2 linked regions of the Caenorhabditis elegans genome follow. The protein of the gene in region 2 purifies or fractionates together with the protein of the main gene of each other region. This does not show direct contact. Each region holds a gene or a part of one and is shown on either strand. Other genes may lie near its edges.

Region 1 (7,154 bases), on a different chromosome or scaffold from region 2:
TGAATTCTCCATATATGAGTTACCTGTTTTCAACAAAATTAGACCACTTTTTATTTTTGCCCAAATTTTTTTCAGCCATCTAATGACTGTACTTTTTTTTTTTTGGGCAAAAAAAATAATTTTTCTGAAAACGTTCGAAACTACGGAAAGTTAGAAAAGGGCAATTTTTTAGGGTTCTCAGATCAATTTTGAGTCCTCTAACTACAAAATTGCCTATTTTAGAGGAGTTTCAAAATTGTGCTTTTTTGTCATAAATTGTCATTTTTGCCACTTTTTAATAGTTTTTGATGGGTTAAACCTAGATTTTCTGAATTCTCCATATATGAGTTACCTGTTTTCAACAAAATTAGACCACTTTTTATTTTTGCCCAAATTTTTTTCAGCCATCTAATGACTGTACTTTTTTTTTTTTGGGCAAAAAAAATAATTTTTCTGAAAACGTTCGAAACTACGGAAAGTTAGAAAAGGGCAATTTTTTAGGGTTCTCAGATCAATTTTGAGTCCTCTAACTACAAAATTGCCTATTTTAGAGGAGTTTCAAAATTGTGCTTTTTTGTCATAAATTGTCATTTTTGCCACTTTTTAATAGTTTTTGATGGGTTAAACCTAGATTTTCTGAATTCTCCATATATGAATTACCCGTCTTCAACAAAATTAGACCACTTTTTATTTTTGCCCAAATTTTTTTCAGCCATCTAATGACTGTACTTTTTTTTTGGGCAAAAAAAATAATTTTTCTGAAAACGTTCGAAACTACGGGAAATTAGAAAAGGGCAGTTTTTTAGTGTTCTCAGATCAATTTTGAGCCCTCTAACTACAAAATTGCCTATTTTAGAGAAGTTTCAAAATTGTGCTTTTTTGTCATAAATTGTCATTTTTGCCACTTTTTAATAGTTTTTGATGGGTTAAACCTAGATTTTCTGAATTCTCCATATATGAATTACCCGTCTTCAACAAAATTAGACCACTTTTTATTTTTGCCCAAATTTTTTTCAGCCATCTAATGACTGTACTTTTTTTTTTTGGGCAAAAAAAATAATTTTTCTGAAAACGTTCGAAACTACGGGAAATTGGAAAAGGGCAGTTTTTTAGTGTTCTCAGATCAATTTTGAGCCCTCTAACTACAAAATTGCCTATTTTAGAGGAGTTTCAAAATTGTGCTTTTTTGTCATAAATTGTCATTTTTGCCACTTTTTAATAGTTTTTGATGGGTTAAACCTAGATTTTCTGAATTCTCCATATATGAATTACCCGTCTTCAACAAAATTAGACCACTTTTTATTTTTGCCCAAATTTTTTTCAGCCATCAGACTGTACTTTTTTTTTTGGGCAAAAAAAATAATTTTTCTGAAAACGTTCGAAACTACGGGAAATTGGAAAAGGGCAGTTTTTTAGTGTTCTCAGATCAATTTTGAGCCCTCTAACTACAAAATTGCCTATTTTAGAGGAGTTTCAAAATTGTGCTTTTTTGTCATAAATTGTCATTTTTGCCACTTTTTAATAGTTTTTGATGGGTTAAACCTAGATTTTCTGAATTCTCCATATATGAATTACCCGTCTTCAACAAAATTAGACCACTTTTTATTTTTGCCCAAATTTTTTTCAGCCATCTAATGACTGTACTTTTTTTTTGGGCAAAAAAAATAATTTTTCTGAAAACGTTCGAAACTACGGGAAATTGGAAAAAGAGAAAGTATGGTTACTGTAGAAGGGTACTGTACTTCTATGTACAGACAGAGGATTGTTGTACTTTTACTGTTAAGGAATTTACGTCAAAAAATGATTTTGTTCCAGAAGATCTCAACTCGGACGTAATGTTCTCATCCATATCAACACATTTTCTGAAATTCACATCTTCGACGAGAAGGAAGAAACACAAAATGGAAACAGCTGGAGTTTGAAAATTACAGTTCGGATTAAATTGTGAAAAACCATTTTTGCATTTTTGTAAAACTGTTAACTATAAAATTCCCGAAATTCCAGAGCCTCACTCAAAATCGAGTTGCTTTTTCAGAAATAAAACAACATAATTGATTTATAAAATTGGAAAAATTCAACATTAAAACCAGGCAACCAACAAAAAGTAACACATATTTAAATAAAATATCAATTCTGCAAGTAAGCGTCTCCCTCGATGACACGTAGATAACTCTTTCCACTCGGCAACGGAACCGTCTTGCATTTGTCTGGATCTCCACCACAAAGCTCCTGAATAACTCTCTCTTGACTCAGAGATGGTTGAGCGATGACATTGTCACCGGCAATCCAGTTAGCCGGAGTTGCCACTGGAGCCTTTGTGCCGAGTTGAACACCGTCGACCATGCGGAGAATTTCGCTGGAAATTATGGGGAATTTTAGGCGCCAAGGCTAATGACTGGAAAATTGATAATTCTAAATATTTTTTCTAGTTTTTCAGTCTAAAAATATGTAATTCGACTTTGTTCGTGAATTCATTTATTGAATTTTCTAGTTTCACGTGGTGTCAGGCTGTCCCATTACCACTGGGTTCTGGCCTTTCTCATTGAATTTTCGCGCTCCGTAAATCTACACAAAATCTCTCCGACCCAAAATGGCCTAGTTCGGCCAACTCTGCCATTTCGATTTATAAGGGAAGCCAGAAATCCGTGCATCACGGTTTGATCTACAAAAAATGCCGGAATTTTTTGCCCAAAAAAAAGTGACGTCAGCACGTTCTTAATCATACGAAATCAGTTAAAAACTCTGCGTCTCTTCTCCCGCATTTTTTGTAGATCAACGTAGATCAATCCAAAATGAGATACTCTGACACCACGTGTAGTTTGGCAAACAGTTTTAAAAAAAACGGAGTCATTCGAAAATTGTGGAAAATTTAGCTTTTTCAATTTTTTTGTTTCAGGAGGCTTGCAAAAATCTACTTGCAAAAAAAGCAAAAATAGTTTTTTTTAGAATTCAAATTTCAACAAAAATCTATTGATTATTCGAATTCTGTGAATTTTTGAGATCCAGAAATGTCTGAAAACTTGAATTCTCTCCCCTCGAAATCTTCTCACTCACACAAAATTTCTGCCGAACGTAGCCGGATAGAGAATCTTCGATTTGAGCTTCTTATCAGGTCCAAAAAGCATCACAGCACGAGCCGAAAGACAGATTCCCTCCGAATTCATCTCATCCGGATCAATCATTCCGAGTTCTGTACAAATCGATCGATCCGTGTCGGCGATGATTTCAAATGGCAAATGGCTTCCGCAATTGCTCAATTGTGCCACCGAATTAATGTCTTTTGCCCAATCACGATGAGTTTCTGATGAATCGATACTGATCGCAAGGATCTGAACATGGCGTTTGCGGAATTCGGGAGCCAATTTGACGAGCTCGGCGAGTTCTGTAGTGCAGACGGGCGTAAAGTCGGCCGGGTGACTGAACAGCATCAGCCATCTGAAAATTGGATCGTTTTGGATTGGAATTTATTTTTTTAATAAAAGAATTTTAAAGTGAAAAAGTAGATTTTTGCAAAAAAAAATTATAAAAATTCTGAAATACTTTTTAAATGTGTTTTTTCAACTTTTTGCGAAAATTATTCAGGACTTTTTTAAAATATTTAAATTCACCTGAAAATGTAACTTTTGAAAAAAAAAATTTCGAAATGTTTTTAACATTTTTTATATAGTAAATCGTTAATTTTTTAGAAAAAAAAAATCCATATTTTTTTGGAAAATAGATGTTATTAAAGGTGGAGTAGTCGAATTTTTATTTATTTCTTTACTAGACTCAAAATTGTCTGAAAACGCCAAATTTCAACATGAAACTTCTTGAAAACTTCTCAAAAAAAAGTTATGACGGCTTAAAAACTAGCCTAAAATTAGTTAAAATCGAAAATTTGACCGACTTGTCAATGTCGAAGCGGCTGGAACCAATTTTTTTTGAAATCATCGTCAAATTTTGAGTAAAGGCGACATTGAAAAGTAGGTCAAATTTCTAATTTTAACTAATTTTAGGCCATTTTTGAGCCGTCTTAATTTTTTTTTTGAGAAATTTTCATGAAATTTCATAACGAAATTCCTTGTTTTCAGACAATTTTGAGTCTAATAAAGCAATTTAAAAAAATCCGGCTACACCACCTTTAACTCAATTTTTCATTTTTTTTCAAAATTTCCAAAAAAATTTGTTTTTTCAAAATCCTTTCAAATTAACTCAAACTATCCAATAAAGTACAACCAAATTAACAATTTTTTCTCCAAACTCACTGTTCTCCAATGTAGTTGTGCAAAGTTTGATTTTTGCGAAGATCCGTTTCGAATGTAAAATTTGGAACGGTGTCTCCGAGCTTCATCTCTTGAGTTTTAATCTGAAATTTATTATAATTTTCAGTTTTTTGAATGTTTCAATAAAAAAGTAAAAAATAGTTTCTTAAGAAGATAATATGATTTGGCTCAGCAAAGAAAAAACAAAAAAAAATTTCCAATCACAACAAAATTCAATTTATTTCGTTATTTCAGGGAAATGTTGACATGATTGTGTAGGTGATCGTGATCTACCGTACCAGTAGACACCTTCGTGTTGCTCGAAAAAATGTGAAAATTCGAGAAAACAACTCAAAAATAGCCAAGAAAAGGGCGGAGCGTAATCCAAATTAAAATCGCTAATAGGCTCCGCCCATATATTGGCTTTAAGCTTTTATAAATATCAAAAGCTTTCAAAATTTCAGAATTTTTTTAAAAGAATTTTTTTATTAATTCAGTAAAACTTAATTGAAACGTGCGTATTAAATCATTTATACATAAAAGCCATGAGATGGGCGGAGCTTATTTTGTGGTTTTTGTTCCCGGCGAATGTCATCTGTTTTATGTGTTAGACTTCACTTTCCAATCGGATATTTGGAGTGGTGTCGGACAATGAAATTATTTGTAATAAGCTCCACCCATTTCTTGGTTTTTTAAAATTCAATTTCTTAGATTTCAGCATTAAAATTGTTCTAAAACAAGAAAATTTAATTGGTTTTTTGTTTTGAAAATCTAAAGAGCTTTAGACCAAAAAGTTTGTTGAAGGAAACTTGAGAACCCGAACACAAAGTAAATAAAACAATTTTATTTCACTTTTTTCAGCCTCAAATTATTTGGAATAGGCTCCGCCCATTTCTTGGTTCTTTCAAAAATTCCATTCAATAGATCCCAGCAAAAATTAAAAACAAAAACAAATAATTTCCAGAAAAAAGTTAAGAAAAATTTAGATAGCTAATTTTTTTTCGTTGTTTTTAAACAATTAAAAAAAAAATTTCCAGAAAAAAGTTTTTCCAACGTTTTTTTTAGGAATTTGATTTTTTTTTTTAATTTTTGATTTTTCGCTTTAAAAAGTAATTACAAAAAAACTTTTTTTAAAAAACTGAAAAGGTTCTAAGCTTAGATAAAACTAGCAAATTATTTGAAAAAAGGAAAAAAATCAAAATATAAAATCATTGGTAGAGTAAACAAAGGAAAAAAAGCAAAAAAAAAACGTTAAAAATAATAGAAATTTGATTTATTATTATGACGGGGGGAAAAGTACACATTTATCACAGTTAAGACGGGTTTTTTGTAAAATAAAGTAATTTCTACGAAAAAAAGGGGTATAATTTGTAAATTATTGATTAGATCAAGGACAGGGATGCAAATTTTGAAAAAAAAATCATTAAAAATTACTGAAAAATCCCACAGAAAATGCTCAAAAACTACTAGAAATTTCGATTTCTCGAGAATTTTTTTTTTTGAATATTGTAGCAATTTCCGCTGGATATTTTCAATGAGAACCTCCCAAAAAAAGAGATTAAAAGCTGCAAAATTGAAAATTACACAGAAATTTAGATGCACAGAGAGATCCAAAAAGAACACAAAAATACAGTATTCAGATTTAAAAAAAATTTAGATTCCACCGAGCTCATCAACTTCATCATCATCATCTTCAACTCCGGATCGATCCCGTCGGAGCACCACGATATCTTCTGAGTCTGACGTTGGACTCGTCGTTCCTGCTCCGTTTCGTTGTAGGAGTTCCTGAAAAGATTAAGAATTAAAAATTGTTTTGGAGAATGGAAAATTTTCTTTAATTTCCATATATTCAAGAAAATTTGCAGGAATTTTTGGAAAATGTCATAGTTACTGAACCGTTTCTTTTTTATGATTTTAATTTTTAACAAAAATTCGTCAAAATAATAAATAAAACATAACAATTCATAATTTTCAGCCGCACCAAAAAAGTATTATGGTAATGAGAATCATTAGATTTTTTCAGGAAAAGAGTTCCCAAAAAGACTAAGAATAAGAATTTGGAAAAAAAACTTTTGAGGAAACAAATAAAATTGAATTTCTTATCAATTTTTTGATTTTTTCTCAAATTTTTGTAATGTTTCCTTAATAAAAGAAAAATAGTTGAGCTTCTCCAGTGAGCTGACAGTGCTACGTGGCCGTGGAAAAACTGATGGCCGAATTTTGTCTGTTTGCGGTTCCAAATTTCTGTTAAAAATAGAAAAAAAAACGGCTCCGAAGAATTTTTGGTTGAGGCTGAGGATTTTTGGTTGAAGCTGAGAATTTTTGGTTGAGGCTCAGAATTTTTGGTTGAGGCTGAGAATTTTTGGTTGAGGCTGAGAATTTTTGGTTGAGGCTGAGAATTTTTGGTTGAGGCTGAGAATTTTTGGTTGAGGCTGAGAATTTTTGGTTGAGGCTGAGAATTTTTGGTTGAGGCTGAGGATTTTTGGTTGAAGCTGAGAATTTTTGGTTGAGGCTGAGAATTTTTGGTTGAGGCTGAGAATTTTTGGTTGAGGCTCAGAATTTTTGGTTGAGGCTGAGAATTTTAGGTTGAGGCTGAGAATTTTTAGGTTGAGGCTGAGAATTTTTGGTTGAGGCTGAGAATTTTTGGTTGAGGCTGAGAATTTTTGATTGAGGCTGAGAATTTTTGGTTGAGGCTGAGGATTTTTGATTGAGGCTGAGGATTTTTGGTTGAGGCTGAGAATTTTAGGTTGAGGCTGAGAATTTTTGGTTGAGGCTGAGAATTTTTGGTTGAGGCTGAGAATTTTTGATTGAGGCTGAGAATTTTTGGTTGAGGCTCAGAATTTTTGGTTGAGGCTGAGAATTTTAGGTTGAGGCTGAGAATTTTTGGTTGAGGCTGAGAATTTTTGATTGAGGCTGAGGATTTTTGGTTGAGGC
Region 2 (10,203 bases):
AAAATGCACCGTAACCGTGCACCGGATAGTCTACTGTTACATAAGTTACTGTAGTGGTACTGTAGATAGTTCATCCCTAACCTACTTCATTTCCAGTTCCTGCACACCTACAACGCCAGCTTGATCTACTTTAGTCTTTCCCGCCCATTGGGACTATCAAACTTCTCAATGGAATGGATGATGGGAATCTACACAGGACTGTACTCTGCAACAATCTGTCAGCTGGCAATTCAATTCATTTATCGGTACTGGGCACTTTTTGATACTCCGAAGATCAAATATTTCCATGGATGGTACTACTTGATTTGGGTGTCCTATTACTCATTCTTCGGAGTCCTATGGGCATTTGCAGTTGGGCATTTCTTTGCGATGGATGACTTCGGAAGAGAATACCTTGGTGGGGAGATACTTCTTCGTTACGAGAGGAACATCACAGATATCCCTGTGCTTGGCCTGATTGCCTATGAAGGTAATAGCATCCGCTGGAGGAATGTCTATGGGCTCTCTCTAATGACATTGATCTCCACAATTCAATACTCGGTTATATTGATTTGTGGGCATCAAATGTATCATGGAATGCGCGCCAAACTCTCCGTCCTATCCGCCCAAAACCGTCGCCTTCATAAGCAATTCTTCAGAGCCCTCGTGATACAGGTTAGTTTCATGTGTTCTTTCACATAATCAGAAGTCGCGGTTTACAGATCACTGCGCCCACAATCATACTGTTCTGTCCAGTCTTCTTCATGATCTATGCTCCATTTGCAGACTTGGAAATGAGCTTCCCGTCTTGTATAATTCAGAGCGGCTTCACAGTATACCCAGCTCTCGATTCAATTATCATGATGAGCTGTGTTTCTGAGTATGGTAGAGCGTTGAAAAGTGAGTCTATCGGGGATCTCGTAACTGGGAAACTTCGGAGAAAAAATGCGTCAGTGGTGAATTCAGGAGTAGGCGACGAATCCGTTAGTTGAATTCTGTAAATTTTTTCACAAAATAAAAAAGTAACCCGAAATAACCTTTCAAAAAACGGTAAAATAAATAATTCTGAAAAACCGCGCTGCAGTATTGCAAAGCGAAGTTCCGCCTCTGCTTCTGGTAGCACAGTAATCCCCAAATAAATGCAATAATTTTTTTTCCAGAGCTAATCTGGAACACTCGGCAAAAGTACACAGTAAGGTCTCCGGGGCCGGCGGCGGACGAAAGTAAAGAGACGGTCAAGACTGGGAGCAAGGCGATTACTACTAAACTTTGATGATTTTTCTATATTTTCTTCCAAATAATAAAAAAGGAGGAATTATTATTAATTTAAACTAGCTCTTCTACATAATTCATCACAAAAGTAGCAGGGGAGAGGAAGGCACAAAAGTGGGAAGAAAAATGACCTAGAAGAACAAAATCTGAAATTTTAAGCTAACCAAAAAAAAGTGATATGAAATAAAAATTAGGGGGAAAACAAATCGACTATTCGTAAAACAAAAAAAAACAACGATTTAATAAGATTCGGGATTTTTGAATCCAAATGTCTGCTTTTCCACCAGCTTTCTGAAAATTCCGTCGGGGATAGCGATAAGCTCGTCATAGCTTCCAGATTCTGCAACACTTCCTCTATCGACTACAACGATTTGATCGGCATGCTTGATTGTGGACAGTCTGGAATTTCGGAAATTGTTAAAAATCGACATTTTTCCGATGTTTCTTGTTTTCCTCGAGGAGTACACACGATGTGCGTAAATCGACAAGATGTCGATTTACGACGCATCTTGTATACTCCAAAATGTTTCAAAAAAGTAATTTTTAAAATGCCAAAAATCGAAAAATTTAGATTTTTTTTTGAATTTTTTGCTCTAAAAACTTTACCTGTGAGCAATAATCATAACAGTCTGTTTACTATTCGCGAGCAATTTGTTGAGAGCAATTCGAACGAGATATTCTGACGAGGCGTCGAGTGCCGATGTGGCTTCATCCATAATTAGAATATTCGGCTTCTGAAATTATTTTCAGATTTAGTAGAGCTCTGGGAAAACTTTTTCTAAAATATTTTTCTCACATTGACAAGAGCACGGGCGATGGCAATTCTCTGCTTTTGTCCTCCACTTAGTGTTGATCCGTGCTCACCGACCTGGAAATCGAGGTTTTTAGATTGAAAATTGAAATATTTGTGAAAAATGAATACACACCTTTGTGTCATATTTAATTGGGAATCGGCTGATAAACTCATCGGCGTTGGATTGATCGGCTGCTGAGACGATCTAAAAATAGAAATCTAATTAAAATTGCAAATTCTGGAGTTTTTGGGATATTTTTGAGTATTCAATAGCGGATTTCAGGTTGGAATTGTATTGTATTCTTTATTTTATTATTTTTAAAAAATTAATTTTTTAGAAAGTAAATTTTCAAAAAATTATAACAATTTAATTTGTTTTGACAATTCTAGAAATTTCAATAATATGAAAATTTCGAAAAATTCAAGTAATTTGACAATTAAACGTTTGAGGTTTTTTTTTCGAACCGGTTTTCAACATTTTTTCAATATGTTTCAAAAATAAGGTTTTTTTCTAAAAATGGAATTAAAAAAATGTTTTTAAAAACGGGTTTTTAAAAATTATTTTTTGGACCAAAACTGTTTTTCAAAAACTTTCAATGGAGGAAATAATACGATTTTTTGTATTGTTGGTAAAAATAAAATTCAGAAAAAAAAATCTCCGAAAAAAAAACATTTTGAATTGAAGAATAGTTGTTTTTTGTCTGAAAAATGCGAAAAAAATGTTTTTCGGAAATTTTATTGCGGGAAAAAATATTTTTATTCCAAAAAATAGAATTTCTTCAAATACTGAAAAATTAAACAATGGATTTTTCGGTCTTTTTTGGACCAAAAACTGCTTTTCGAAAAAGTTTATTGGAGGAAATAATTCTTTTTTTTTTGTTGGTGGTTTTCCGGTTTTTTTGTCGAAATTTATTCTCCAAAATTAACAAATATCTCCAGAAAAAACTAAAAAATTTTAGAATTATTTCGTTTATTGATTTTTTTTGGATTTTTTTTTCAGATAAAAATTCGTTTAAAAAAATCGACCACATTTTTTACTGATGAAAATTCAGTTGGAAAACTAGTGATATTTCTCGATTTTTTGCATTCCTTCCAAATCCCCGGTTTTTTTCGTACTCACTTCAGCGTCGGTAACGTTTTCAGGTTCAAGACTTCCATAAATAATATTCTCTTTGATAGTTGTCGAGAATAAAACCGGTTCTTGTCCAACTGTTCCAATATGACGACGCCAATATGATGGATCAATGTCCTTCAAATCGGTTCCGTCGACCAAAATTCGACCGCTCGTTGGATCGTAGAGTCTGGAATTTGAAAGAAATAATACATTTTTCAAAAAAAAAATTACATTTTGGGTTTTTACGTAAAAACTTTTGGAAATTAACAAAATTTTGCTGAAATAAAAAAGCTTGCAACGTCTCAAACAAATCGGAAAATTTTTTTTTGCTCATTCCCGTCGAAAAGAACGGCTTTCGTTAATTTTTGGTTGTTTTTTTTTCGTAAATTAAAGCTTTTTTTAATAAGTTTAATCACATTTTTCGGAAATCTAATTGAATTTTTGAAGAACAAAAAAAAAACGAAATTTGTTTTTTTTTTTTGCTTCAAAAACTACCAAAAATGGATTTTTGCCACTTATTTTGTCTTAAAATGGCCGGAAATTTTTTTTGTTATATTTTTAAGTTTTTTGTGCAATTCCGTCGGTTTTCAAGAAATTTAATTTTTAATTTGGATTTTTTGTTACGAAAAAAATTTTTTTTCGTAAATTTTGCCCTTTTTTATAATGTAAGGGTAAATTTTGCAAAAAATTCAAAAAAGAGTGCCGAAAGTTGAAACAAAAATTTTTCAGCTTTTTTCTAAATTTTATAATATTTTATCGCTAATTTCGGGTCATTTTAAGTATTTTTCCTCTTAAATATGGTTCTACCTAAGCAAAAGCGAGGCGATTGTCGATTTTCCTGATCCAGATGATCCCACGACTGCCGTGATTTTTCCAGCTGGCACATCAAATGAAATATTATGGAATAATGGGTCCCGGTCAGCATATCCGAATGCAACGTGCTCAAATCTGAGAAAAAAAAATTACATTTTTTATTTCAAAAGTTATTTCAGTATTGCGATACCTAATAGTATCCTTGACATTTCCAATTTGAACACCTCCTTCCAACGGAATTCTTGGCTCCCGATTTTTGAGCTCAAAGAGCCGGGAGCTGGCTCCGAGACCCTTCATCAATTCGAGATAGAATCCAGACATTGCTGACAGGCTACCAGCGCTGAGAACTGCGTAGAGACAGAATGAGGAAAGTTCTCCTGAAAAAATAAATTAAATTGCAAAATTTTTAAAATTTTTTTTAGTTTTTTGGTGATTTTTTTGGATAAAACTTTTTGTGACAATGTGTCCATTTACGCAGCGTGTGTACTCCTCGTGGAGAAGAGGATTTCACAGATTTTCGGCGGAAATTCATGAATTTTCAACCATTTTTGACATACATAATTTTTGTATTTTTTCCTAGTGTTTCAGGGAAAAAAATCTACAAAATTTATACAGGAAACCAGAGAAATTTAAATTTTGTGGGATCCTGGATTTTCAGTTTTTTTTTTCAAAATTTTATATTTTTTCAAAAAAAAAATTTCTAAACAATTTGCATTTTTTCAAAAAAATTTGCAATTTCACACAAATTTTTTGGTAATTTCTCTTTTTTTTTAAAAAGACTTTTATGGATAAATCCATGGTTTTCTTCGGTATTTTTTTTCTGAAAAAAATAGAAAAACGGAAATTTTCCGACATCTTCGATCATAAATTCAGCGATTTTAACAGCAAATTCCTTTTAAAAAATCAGAAAAAATGTTCAAAAATTGAGCATTTTTGCATAAAATTTTTCCTCGAGGAGTACACGAGCTGCGTAAATCGACACACGAATAAATCTTTACCATATGTCAAAAGTCCCTGACTAATCAGATTGCTTCCGTAGAATAGAATTGATGAGAGCGCAAGATATCCAGTGAATTGGAACTGAAAATTTCCACCATTTTTTTTTCAATATTTTTCCAATTTTCAAACCGATCCAAACATGAATCCCTTGGCGAGTCCTTCCTTCTTCGAAATCTGCCAAATTTCATTAATTTTGTCAGAATACGCGGCGAGTTCCTTCCTCTCGGCGACCAACATTCGGACGGTTCGAACGGAAGAAAGACGTTCAGTGGCGACCTGATTCGCTCCGGCGACAGCTTCTTGCATCATTAACGTGTATTTTCTCTGAAGCTTTCCGAAAACTGCAAAAGTTCCAACGATGACCGGTACGACGACAAAAATCACTTTGCACATTGCCAGGGAGGTGTAGACCTGGAAGAAAATTCAATTTTATTGGAGAATTCAGGGAAAAACGAATAAAAAATCATTTTTATATTCGAAGTGTCGATTTACGCAGCTCGTGTACTCCACGAGGAGAAGTTTTTTTTGCAAAATTTTCTACTTAAAACTTATTTAAAATTTAGATTGTTAAGGGTTTTTTTAATTTCAATAATTTCAGGGTTCTTTTCAATTCTTCAGGAGATTTTTTTTGAAAATTTCAAGTTTTCCATTGAAAAAATCGAATAATTTGTGCTTTCTGATTTTTTTTTTTTGAAACTGCAGAAAATCAGAAAAATTTGGAAAACAAGTTTCAAAATTTCAATTTTATCTCATTTTTGTGTATTTTTGAAGAAATTTTCTTAATTTTTGTTAATAATACTGTTTTTTTGTTGATAAATCTAAACAGGTTTTAGATTTTTTTTTTTTCAATTTGCAAAAAAATATTGAAAATTCCGGTATTTTTCAATTTTTAATTATTTTTTTTTCTGAAAAAGTTATCTGAAAATTAGAGTTTAGAATCGGATTTAATATTTAAAAAACTTTAAATTCAAGGTTTTAATTTTTTCAAACATAAAAAAGTCCAAAAATTCAGCATTTTCGCTAAAAAAAACTTCTTCACGAGGAGTACACGAGCTACGTAAATCGACACGAGGAGGGTTTTCAAGACAATTTTTCCAATTTCAAAGATTTCGTGAAGCTCAATCGCACCATAAGACCTCCAGAACCGAAACAAGTGATCAATGCACGGGCTCCATCACTCAAATTCATCGAAACTGAATATCCAACGATAAGAGCATCAGTAGAAAGACGAGAAACAATTTCTCCGACTTTATTTTTATCGAAAAATGCCATATCTTGACGGAGAACACTGTTGAACACACTTTTGCGAAGATCATTGATCACAAGTTGACCTGAAAAAATTTTAATTAAATTTTAAATAATTAAATTTCAGTTTAAAAGTTTTGCCATACCCGCCGTGTGCATGCAGTAAATTCTGGCGGCAATAGCAATCGCGCCCAACATGAAAACTCCAGCTAGAGCAATTGGATTTTCTTTGAAAAATCGAGCCAATAGTAGGGCTTTATCGTTCGGATCCATTTTATCTTGCTTCGTCTCGTCCCACTCGTCGATTAATTTTCCGAGAACGCGAGGTGTGAAGAGGAAAATCGAACTACTAATGCCGAGAAATGAAATTCCGACTGAAAAAATCGATAAATTTAGGACTTTATTCAGATAATTCTCGAAACATACGCATAATTCGCCATTTATAAGGACCTGCGAGTGATAAAATCGCTTTCAAATCTTTCCAACTCGCATTTTTCAGCTTATACGATTCCCTTTTTGTTTCCACTACACTGACCTGAAAATAATTTATATTTATTATAGAATTCCTTGTAAACTTACATTTCTAAACGCTTGTTTTGACTTTATTAGTGTGCTTTTTAAAAATCCCGTTGATCGTCCAACTTGTGGCGCGAAACAAAATAATCTGAAATATGAGAGCTTCAAATTAGATTTTAAAAGACACAACTAATTACCTGGTTGAGCTAGAAGGTATTGAAGAACATTTCGAACAACATAACCGGCTCAAATGTGATAAAAGTGACATGTGGAAAGCTGAAAAACTTGAAAATGACGCAATTATCTTCAAAACAGACAAAAATTTACAAGATTTTAATTGAATTAGTGAAAAACTAATCTGAAATTTATATTTTCCACAAATTAAATCGAAAATATGGTAAATTTTCCGGTAAAAACGAATTAAAAACGTGGAATTTTTCTGAAAATTCATTAAAAATGCGAGAAAATCGAGAGATGCGCCAGAGGGGCTGCTGGCGCATTTCCAGTTTTGCTGGCGCATATCTCGATATTGGAGGGAATTCAAATATGTTTTTGGAAAATTGAAATTTTTGAGGGGGATTCACGAATTAGTTGATGGAAAACGTGAATTTCAATTGGACCACAACAATTACAATTACAAATAAAAGAAAAACAACGTTTTTCTTTTATTTAACAATTATGAAGCTGGCAGCAAAGGTGAGTTTTTTCAATGTTTGTGTTTAAATCTACCAAATTTCCATCAGACCTTCACACCAAGCACCGCAGATCTTCCCTTCACAGATGCAGGTGCGAGCGAAGACTCGGGTATGGCCAATAAGCCCGGTGAGCCCGCTTTCCAGTTGTGGCTCGACGTGAAAAAGGTGTGAAAATGAGGTTCCCATGAGAATGGATTGGATAAAATCTTTATTCCAGGTGGTATTTCCAACCACTTCAGAACCATCCTATGTGAATCTCCGACTTCACAATCCGACAGACAAGAGAATCACATTCAAAGTTCGTTGCACTTCAGCGGAGCTGTTCCGTGTTCAACCGCCGATTGCATTCATCAATGCCGGTGCAACTGTCAATCTTGTGATGTGGAGCGCCAACACCCACCTGCAGCCGGAGAAGAAGCATTATTTCGCATTTTACCACAAAAATGCGTCTCCGAGTGCTCGTCAGTCTCCGCCACTATGGAAGGATGGGCTGAAAGACGCGGAAGGTGCGGCTGGCATAGAATTTTCAGAAAAAAATCTTTAATTTCAGGAGTTCGTCGTATCCCTGTCGTCTTCCTTCCTCCATCATCGTAGAAAGGAACGCTAATAAGAATTTTTACATTGAATTTAACGATCTAAAATTCATTTTTTGTAAATGCCACCAAATAAAACGTTCACTTGTGTTTTATGGATTTCGAAAGCGATTTATGAAAAATTATCGTTCTTTATCACGTAAACAGTCACAGGCAAAGCGGAAAGTGCCCAAAACGGTCCGTTCATGGACCGGGAACGGCTCAAATTTAAGAACGGTTCACGGTTCGATTCCCGGTCCGTCAACGGACCGTAATTGAACCGTAAGGAGACTAAAAAATTGGAAAATTTTTTCACCCTCCAGCTGCCCCCTTTTTCTTTCCCAATGCTCCACCGAGCTCCGGTCTTGCTCCAGACCGTCTTCCGGTGATCCTTCGTTGTAGCAATTCTATCTGCCTCAGCCGGTGTTGAACTTGTCCTCTGCCTGTCGATTGATTACTGGCCCATCACCTTACCATTTGGCCGTTCGCGCACGCGAGGAAAATCAATGGACTTCGCATAAATAGCGATCAGCTTGCGCTCGCGCATTTTCTTCTGGTTTTCACGTCTTACACCAACTTTTTCGATTGTATTTTCAGTAGTTTCTGATTCTCCATCTTGCCGTTGGACTTATATGAAAGCGAACGATAACAATTGACAGTTTCGTGTAGTTCAGAACTTATTTCGCATATTTCTTAACATCTACCTATACGTGCTCCATCTACTTGTAATATAGAAGTGGTACTTACCATATTTCCTCCATTAGTCTTGCATGCAAGATTAATTTTCGATTGGACCGGGTTGCAATACTAATAGAGGAAATAAGGTATATGCGTTCTACTTGAATGATACCTTAATTTCTTAAAATACACACGGAACAGAAACGATATGATTCCAGAATGTATTGTTAGTAAAATATTTTATGATATTTCAAAAAATGCTCCTGTTGCTCAGCTGAAGAAGACCAGCAGAGAGAGTGAACGTTGCGTATACACAGTATCTACCCAATTGTGGCATTTCATCTTTTTTATTGATATGTTTATAGGATTACATTAATATAACCTCTTTTACACACAATGTCATGCTTAATAGCCTCAGTTAGATCGCATGCGATTACGGGCCGCGTACGGACCAGTTGGACGGATGATAGACAAAATGGTTGCCCAGAGGAATTTTTTTTTCATGAAAATTGAGTTTTTGAAGTACCCACAATGCTATTTGGTCCATTGTAGCCAGTTGGCTAATTTTTTGCCGGATTCAAGGTTTAGTTTTAAAAAGTGCAGTTTTGCCGACGGGGACGGTTAATTTACGGACCATCTACGGACCGGCTACGGCCGAACTACGGATGATCACCAAAACGGAGGATAATACGAAACATTTTTTTCATGAAAATGGAGTTTTTGACGTGCCTACACTCTCCTTTGGCTAATTTGAGCACTTTTTCCGTGCTAGAACCTGAAATTTTCAAAAACAAAAATTTGATGCCCGGGACGGTTCATTTACGGTCCGTCTACGGGCCGGCGACGGACCGTCTACGGACCGGAAACGGCCCAACTACGGCTCAAGAGCCATCTCGGTCGGTAAATGTGGTTTTTGCTCTAAATAATGCATTTAACGACGTAAAAATGCTTGAATTAGCCAACTGGTATCATAGGTATTAAAAAATTCGTTTTCTTAAAATCCATTTTTTCCTCTTAATGGCCATTTTTTACATTCCCCGTAGTTTGCCCGTAATTGGTCCGTCCCGCTTTTCATATCCGTAGTTCGCCCGTTAATGGTCCGTTCCCGGTCCAAGATCCGTAAACGGACCGTACCCGCTTTGCCTGTGAGTGTGAAAAAAAGACATTGAAGCTTAATGTTCTGAAAATGCATATTAAAAGAAATATTTTTCCGGGAGCCATCAGACATTGAGGAACGAGAAACTCCAGAGAATTCAAATTTGTGGAAAAGTAGGCGGAGTCCATCTTTCAGGTTTATCAGTTCAACCAGTAATTACATGAAACAAGCACAAAAAAGAAGGTCTTCATTTTTTTTGTTGTAAATCTTAACATTCTGTTGTTTTTGAAAAATAATGTAAAGGAGCTCCACCCATTTTCTCACCAGCATGAAAGTTGGGAAAACAATTGTCACGTGACGTGTCTGATGCAGTCGCGCCCAACTGATAAAGTGTTCCGGCGCCAATGTTTTTTTTTTCAATTTAAATTTTA

What was found. Proteins that work in one complex are often made in the same cells at the same time.
Region 1: the proteins of haf-3 (region 2) and prdx-6 fractionate together in Caenorhabditis elegans (co-fractionation; one large-scale study listed by BioGRID). This does not show direct contact.

The regions. Positions count from the first base shown.
Region 1 is NC_003282.8:215,722-222,875, reverse strand, and holds prdx-6 (Thioredoxin domain-containing protein), read right to left. Parts: upstream 4,325-7,154; 5' UTR 4,310-4,324; coding exon 4,224-4,309; intron 3,415-4,223; coding exon 3,034-3,414; intron 2,336-3,033; coding exon 2,107-2,335; 3' UTR 2,023-2,106; downstream 1-2,022. Other genes in the region: Y38C1AA.1 (Phospholipid/glycerol acyltransferase domain-containing protein), read right to left, coding at 5,874-6,005.
Region 2 is NC_003283.11:15,759,166-15,769,368, forward strand, and holds haf-3 (ABC transmembrane type-1 domain-containing protein), read right to left. Parts: upstream 7,008-10,203; 5' UTR 7,000-7,007; coding exon 6,929-6,999; intron 6,880-6,928; coding exon 6,795-6,879; intron 6,751-6,794; coding exon 6,642-6,750; intron 6,590-6,641; coding exon 6,362-6,589; intron 6,302-6,361; coding exon 6,099-6,301; intron 5,382-6,098; coding exon 5,100-5,381; intron 5,052-5,099; coding exon 4,970-5,051; intron 4,684-4,969; exon of another isoform or gene 4,543-4,683; intron 4,349-4,542; coding exon 4,162-4,348; intron 4,107-4,161; coding exon 3,966-4,106; intron 3,346-3,965; coding exon 3,165-3,345; intron 2,250-3,164; coding exon 2,178-2,249; intron 2,120-2,177; coding exon 2,048-2,119; intron 1,986-2,047; coding exon 1,858-1,985; intron 1,775-1,857; exon of another isoform or gene 1,718-1,774; intron 1,651-1,717; coding exon 1,491-1,650; 3' UTR 1,290-1,490; downstream 1-1,289. Other genes in the region: str-9 (Seven TM Receptor), read left to right, coding at 97-654, 702-879, 1,140-1,252; F57A10.2 (Major sperm protein), read left to right, coding at 7,410-7,427, 7,475-7,591, 7,644-7,932, 7,977-8,020.